2 linked regions of the Tribolium castaneum genome follow. The protein of the gene in region 2 interacts with the protein of the main gene of each other region in a pairwise test. Links are inferred from orthologs where the notes say so. Each region holds a gene or a part of one and is shown on either strand. Other genes may lie near its edges.

Evidence for each region.
Region 1: the proteins of trh (region 2) and tgo interact in a two-hybrid assay, tested with the Drosophila melanogaster proteins (3 studies listed by BioGRID). The link is inferred for Tribolium castaneum from reciprocal best matches to the Drosophila melanogaster genes trh and tgo.

What each region holds. Positions count from the first base shown.
Region 1 is NC_087403.1:1,484,480-1,488,610, reverse strand, and holds the start of tgo (aryl hydrocarbon receptor nuclear translocator homolog), read left to right. Parts: upstream 1-1,322; 5' UTR 1,323-1,527; coding exon of another isoform or gene 1,528-1,537; coding exon 1,538-1,679; intron 1,680-4,131. UniProt on the Drosophila melanogaster protein: Heterodimers of tgo/trh are involved in the control of breathless expression. Plays a role in the cellular or tissue response to oxygen deprivation.
Region 2 is NC_087403.1:4,375,048-4,378,564, reverse strand, and holds part of trh (protein trachealess), read left to right. Parts: intron 1-2,214; coding exon 2,215-2,453; intron 2,454-3,517. UniProt on the Drosophila melanogaster protein: Transcription factor, master regulator of tracheal cell fates in the embryo, necessary for the development of the salivary gland duct, Malpighian tubules and the posterior spiracles.

The DNA.
Region 1 (4,131 bases), about 2.9 Mb from region 2:
TTATTAGGAAAATATAGTTTTCCACAAGACTACAGTACTGTATCTTAAAAACTACTAATCACACAGAAAGCAGGGTGTGTTACTAAATAAATGCGTAATACTTTTCTCTATGTAGTTTTTTCCAGAACTTTTCTACAACTCCTTATAATAAATAATAATTAATTAGGAATATTAAAATATTAATTAATGGAAATTTGTACTAATATGTATTATTCTAAAACAAACCAATAATTAAAAAAAATGTGATTAGCCCCAGTTATCTTTATTTCAATTTTTTATTTATTTAGTACTGAATTCTGGGAGCTAGCGCCAATTTTCTACGATTTTTTTGCACAAAATTAATAATACAAAATAATATTTTTTTAAGGAAGGGAGTACTAATTCATTAATTAAGAAATTACTGAAAATATTCGCATGCAAAGAGAGAAATATAAGGTATTTATTAGCAAATGCTGGTTTCTGCGTAAAAATTTATTAATTTTTAATATTTGGAAAAAAATATTTTTAGACTCTTTTTTCACTTTGTATATTCAAAACTGAAAACACATTGAATTGGAATTTCAAGTAATGACCTATTTCAAAGATTTTTATTTAAAAATTTAGAGTTATAAGATATAAAAAAGTTTCAGAATTATTGTCAAAGTAAAGAGAAACGTAAAAAATGAAAGGAGACTCATTGTCAATTTTTCAATCTTTTTCATTTAATTTTTCATTTTATTTTTTTATCAATATAATTCCACATGGAATGGCGCAAAAACGAACAATATGGACGGAGAATCGAAACTTTGCTTCCTGAAATATCTGTTTAAAAAAATAAGAAATGCAAAATTACCGGCAACACAAGAAAGAAAAAATATTAAAACAGCAATCGTTCAGCAAATTCTATTTGGATGTGTGTATTTGACGCGTATTTTGTTTCTATTGGATTTTATCCTGCGACCGTCGGTAGCGTCAGTGAGAAAAACCGAAAATTTGAATTTTGCGTTGAATAAGTTTGTTAAAATCGCGCTGACCGTCCAAAATTTTGTTCCCTGAATCGGTCGTGGTGTGGATGTGTTAGCCGCAAGAGTACTCACAGTCGTGTGTGCTCCCCGTCGGTCACATGTGCACTAGGGGTAGTGAAAGCGCGTACCGTGCGTAAGGATCGCGTGTTTGCTCCGCGCGGCGAGGAGGAAACCTCCGAGGGCTGTTGAGCACTAAGCTCGGGCAGAAAGCGATGATTCGCGGCGGCTGCGGGCCCTTGCCTCGGAGCGGGCGGCGTACCTGCATGTAGTTAAAATCTCGGCATACCCCACCAATGCTCATCTCTCCGACTCTCCGTCGGCCGTAGTCATGTTGGCCGCCATCGCCGCATCGTCAGTCCGCGACAGTGTTCTGAGCGCGTCGTTCTGTGCCTCCCGCCGGTGCCCCCGTGCCATGTGCCTGTCGAGAGAGCGGAAGCACGCCACTGCCCGCTGCCCCCTGTGAAGACGTCGCGACGCCACTCTGTTTCCGTACTCCGGGTGCAGCAGTGCCGCCACAGTGGATATGTACGCGTATGCCGGGGGCGGCCCCCCGCACTATGCGCCGCCCCCCACCTACCTCCAGCCCCATCCGCCGCCGCCACACCACCCCCAAGTCGCGCCCGTGCCCATGGGCCAGGAGCCCACGCCGGTCGCGCACTACTCCAAGAGGCGAAGGTAACACGTGACAGCAAAGCTCCACCAAAATTCAGGAAAAACACAAAACCGTTCCCGCTCTTCGTAAATTAATTAAAATAGTGAAACAAATTTCAAAAGATCCTCACGTCGCTTGAAAAAATAACGACATAATAACAGTCAGAACTGCAAGATAATTGGTGCGTTTTAAAGAGAAATCTCCTCCATAATCTGCGCTGGGTCCAATTTCATATTTTGCTTGTTTTCTATACGGAAAAATTGTTTTCAAAAATACGATAAATGGTGGGTCCTTATGAAACATCACAAAATTGTGCTAATTGTGAAGCAGCTGTCTTGAAACAAATTGCTCTAATTAAAAAATTACAACGTTTGATTAATCTGATCCAAATATACTTGTGACTTTATAGTCACTAAACCTACATTTTGGTAAAGACACGTTTTCAACACGTAACAAGTCGACCAAAATGTGCTTTTTGAATTTTGTTGTATTAAATACGAAAATGGTAAAATTGATAAATACAATAAAATCTGTTCTTTAATGATATTTATTAACTGGGAAAAATAACATTCTAGTTAGTGTTCCTTTAAAATATTTTTTTTTGATGTTCACCCTTTTGTCTAATTTTTTTATTTCACGTAATATGCTTGTGGGGGTGGTCAAAAATTGTGTGAAATCCGCTTTAGAAATGTGGGGATACCCCCAAGGATCTATTTTGGGTCCAACTCTATTCTATTGTTTCATTTCAATGCCTACTTTTTGCCGACATAGCTCTACCGATGTTTACTTTATTTCACCTTGTATATACTTTTTATGATGTGCTAAATCCGTATATATGTCCATAGTAGAGTTCATTAGATGTTGTTCACCCTCTCATATAGTCCGTGGTGCAGAGAAAATTAATAGTTTTGTCTCAAATTTTGCTTTAACGAAACTAAAAATGTGTAAAAAATAAATTTTTGGTCAATCGAGGGCTCAGTAATTATTGTGGGACCACTGGTTCGCTTCTTGGCGCTGAGTCGATCGGTCAATTTATCAAAGCTCGCCGTCACGTGGCCGAGTATCTAAAGCTCATAAACATAAATTTTCATTGCTAAATAAAGCACGACAAAGGGGAATCTAATTTAAAAATAGCCCACCCTTAGAAAGTTTGGGGGGTTAGTTGTGGAGTAACGTTGATTTCTTAAATACCAACAAGTTTTCCACTGTTCTCTTGTCTGGTATTTGCGTCAGACGAAAATTCATTAAAAAGTCGTTTGGAGGTATGATTGGGAGAGACTTGTTAATTTGCAATTGTTTCAATTTCGAAGGGTGAGCGTGTCGTTTTCACTATCTAAAATATTTTTTATGGGCTATAATCCCTCGAGGTTTATCCTGCTGACCGTTCATAAATTTTGTACTAAACTTTGGAATCGGGTCAGGAATGATAAGGGATTAGATTTGGAAATACTTAACAAGGAGATAAAATTACGGAAGAACAATCGGTTGCTTGTAGCTCGAACCATTTTAATGAAGGCGGAATGGATGTGCACCGATAAATCTGAATCATGATGTGATAATAATCGACCTTTACCGTTAAAATTCAGTTTTAATTTGTAGTCGATATGATTTACAATGGCCGGCTGCAATTAACTGCAACGATAGTTCGTCGAAAATAAGGGGTTAAATGATCAGAATTCTAGCAACGTTAGTTTTACCTGAGAAAGATTTTTTAAGCGATAAAAATATTTATGCGTGATGCGTTTGGTCTTTTATTACTTTATTTACATGTTGTCTCTATCTCATTTCCTGCAGTAGTAAAATCGTCTACATGTTCGGTAACTCAAGTCCGGGTTGACAGAGGAAGTCGCCATTGAAGTTTCGTCAACAATGGCCCAAACCCTGTTTTACTCCTTAAATTTATTGGACATTACCTGAACTTGTTCCAACGTCCGACTTTCTCGGGTACACAAATTCCAATACTATTGTTATGTCAAGCCTATAATGGATAGTTGAGGGAGTTTCACAAGTTTTTCCAAACGCGGCCGAGTTTGCAATTGTAATTTTCGTCGATATACCGTTCCATCTTTTTTCGCGAACAAGAATGCTCGCTTACGCTAGCTCCGATTTCATTTAAAAAATGCTAGCTGTAAAGCCAGCATTACAGCCAACTCGGGCAGATTATTGTTCCAAGCTACGCATTTGTTTAGTCTTCTCCTGGGGATTGTTACTGCAACGAATGACTTGCCCCAATAAAACTACATTTTTTCGCAACTTGTCGCTAAAATATTTCAACGAGCTTGCAGCGTGCGAAAGCTCGGCGAGTTAGTTAACCACTTTTTTAAAAACTTGGCAAATTGTTCCGCCTTCGCCCCAAATTCGAGCTTTAGTTAGGTCACCGATCTGTCACATTTCTGGCTCGATGACGGTTGTTTGACTTTGTCACTCCGTATTTCCAAATGCATTGTGTATAATTAACCTAATAAAGGTGCTGTT
Region 2 (3,517 bases):
GAGGGTGGTTTTGGTTTGCATTTTATCTGATGAATTGTGTATTGGATGAGGGTTGTTGGGTAAATTCGTTGGTCAAATCTGTGTGTCGTGATTCATTTACATCTGGAAGAATCTCAATGTGTGATTGAAAGAGGCTCAAGGGGCCGAGTAAATTACGCTGAAGCAGCGGAATCAACAAATCCAGAGCGTCGCGCCGGCAATTGGACTTGTTTTCATTTTATTTTAGTACACCCCTATAAAGCGGCATTCCCAATATAATCGCATTATCTCATACTACCCTCCTTTAGTCCAATAAAACGAAAAAACTATAAGAATTGATCATAACAGGACCGCAATAACAGAAGGTGGCGAGTAAAAGCGACCGCTTTGCCGGACTCCGGAAAGAACGGATTCCGGGATTCCGGTCTTCGGGGACCGGAGCCGATAATTGAACCAAAGAATTGTCTCTGTCGGCATCGCGTCTGCCCAATTTACGGCACTTGCGAGGGGCAGCGTGTGAAAACAAAATTAAGGCGAACTTTCGCCGAAATTGGTAGAAATTGGCCTATGCTACTTCAACCGTCATTTCGGCCCTCGGGGACTTTGCCCTCGCTTGCCGATTATTAGGTTATCCGTCCAAAGGGCCGAACATACCTGGCGACACCTCGCCCCGCGCCAGGGCCGGATTACACCACTTATACCCAAACAACACACGTTTTAATTCGAGGACTCGAGAAGTCTAGTCGCCAAAAGTGAAAGGCACACGCGTTAGTCGCGTTTCTTTTTTGTCCCAGTGGGCTTAGAAGAGTTTATTTAATTTTTAAATGGAAAAAAATTACACCGACTATCAATTTGGGTAATCCGGGCCTGGCTCGCCCCCGATGGCCGTCCCCGGGGACGTTTCGGACGCCTTTCATCTCCTGTACTCCTCTCAAGTGCAAGATCCCTTGCATAGACGATTGACCGACGAAATGGCCCACGTCTCTTTCCTAGTCTTCTAGAAAGACGTTTTCTGCCGGAATGCTGACTGGCAGCCGCGGATGGTCCGGTTTATGGCCGACGTACGTGCAATCGTATGTCGCGCTAATGACCGGACCTCTCCGGGGACCCACACCCGGACCGACATCAAAAAGCTTCCGGATCTAATGTTCTACCATGTGTACGCGCGCTTCCCACCAAACAATGACGCACAGCGCTCCAAACACAACTCTCAACTTCCTCAGAAATGCTCAATTAAAACGTTATTTAATTATGTCCCAAAAAGATTTTCGGTAGTAAAATCACCATATGGTATTTGACCTGATTTCCCTCCAAAGATTTTATTCAAGTAACATACATTAACACGTAAGAATTTTGCAAAAAAGTCGCCTCTTCTTCAAATCCTACTGACTGCGCCAATTTCAGTTTTTACAAGAGACCAAACTTTATTTAGGTGTCAAAAAATTAATATAATTTAAAACCGACAAAAGAGCAATTTTCAATAGTACATTGAATGAAAAAATATAAAACAAAAACAATTTATAAGTATGTGTGCTGTTATCAAATTTAACAGATTCGATGAAAGAAAATTCTGAATTTATACCTTTCCCAATTTTTTTTAATCGGCATGTACAGATTTAGAAACATTTTGAGTTGAAGAAAATCTTTCTTAAATTATTCATTCGCTTTTTCAGAATAAAAATATACCCATATCCTGTAGGTTTATAATGTCTATTGCCCTTATCGGGGTGAAAGTACAAAAGGTTGAGCTAAATTTTTTTGTGTTGCTAGTGCAAGTGTCGAAGGTTTGTCGGAGGGGTGTGGGGTGGTGATAAGAGATTGTCGTTGTTGTACGTGTCGTCGAACGGTCGCGCTCCAAAGGCTCGTTAACCTGCCCCTTCCGTCCGCCTTAATTCTTCTAGTTCCAGTTCTCGTCTTACTGGACATTTCATTTTAGGATCGCCTAATCATCACCGTCAGCTTTCCGGTTTTCGTATTTTCCGCTCCGGATTCTGATGCGAGAAGGTTACTTTTCACTTTTATCCATCCTCGGGGACCGTTGTCCGGCCCGATTTCTACTTCTTTTCATTCGCGACTTGTTCCTTTGGGAGCTTTGATTTCAATACAGACTTGAATATCGGCGTGTTTTCCGATAACAGTTAACACTTAAATTAAGGGTAGCTAAATAACGGCGAAAAGTTTTAGGCCGTTTTCAATGGACCGTCTCCACTAAATGTGATCCTTCTTTTGTTACAGTATCCTCGAACTTAGGAAAGAGAAAAGCAGGGACGCTGCGCGATCGAGGAGAGGAAAAGAAAATTTCGAATTCTATGAATTAGCCAAAATGCTTCCGCTTCCCGCTGCCATCACCTCACAATTAGACAAAGCTAGTATCATTCGACTCACCATTTCCTATCTCAAACTTAGGGACTTCTCAGGGCATGGAGACCCGCCATGGAGTCGCGATGGCCCTCCTCCCAACAAAACCCTAAAAGGTAAGGAACCATCCCGAAAAAAATTCCGCGGAAGCGCCTAATTAACATTCCTCGCATATAGCCGGGAATAATGGACAAGGAGCGTTACTGTTACTGCCTGAGCTGTAATTTATTCATTCTCAATTCATTCTGCCATTGCCTCACTAATCAAAAAATCGTGTGTAAGAATTCTAATTAGATTAGAAAGTTGAAATCTGCATAATTAATTTTTTTATGATCTTAAGCAGCGCACGTATACACAAATTTTACTACGAATCCTTGTATAGCAATCGGACAGTAATGAATTTACCGTGCTTTCTAGCTTATTCTTGACGAACAATGAGCAATGAGGTTATGACACTACACTGTTTCAAAGCTTGTGACTGCAGAATAATAAAATAGGCGACCATTTTGTTTTTATTTAGTTGATATTTCAGTCCATTCGTTGCTGTGCTACGTGATTGTGAATCGTAATTTGAAATTTTGCTTAATGTTTATGTTGTTGAGCTGCATACTTAAAGTAACCACACAGTCAAAAGCAGGAAATTGCGTACCAATCCCTATGCCAAAATGACGCCCTTCCACTTTTGACTCTCCCTGAAAGGCAAAATGCTAACAAAACACTGAATAAAACCAGTAAAACAGCCAAAAATGATGATTGTTTAATTGGGTGGAGCTATCCCCAGAGCTAATCTGAGCCAAGCCCCGTCAACTGCTCAACCAATAAAAAGTCGAGATAAGCGATAAACAAAAAATTTTAAAGCGAGTCTATTGGTCGGAGTCGCAGCCGAATATTTAAGTGTGATGAGGATGATTTGATGAGCTGAATTCGGTGTTATTTTGTCGGCATTCAATCAAGCAAACAAAACTAACGTGAAGGAAAATATAGAGCGCGATAAAATATTATCACCGATAAAAGGGATTAATAGGGACATTCCCATTTGCAGCTGCAGATGGGAGCAGCATCTTTCATAAAAACAATATTGAGGCAGTCGAGGAGTTCTCTCCAGAGAGTTTTTCTTCGCCTGGTCAGCCCATAGTCCGGCTTGTGTTCCCGATAATTCAATAACAGACCTTTAGCTCGT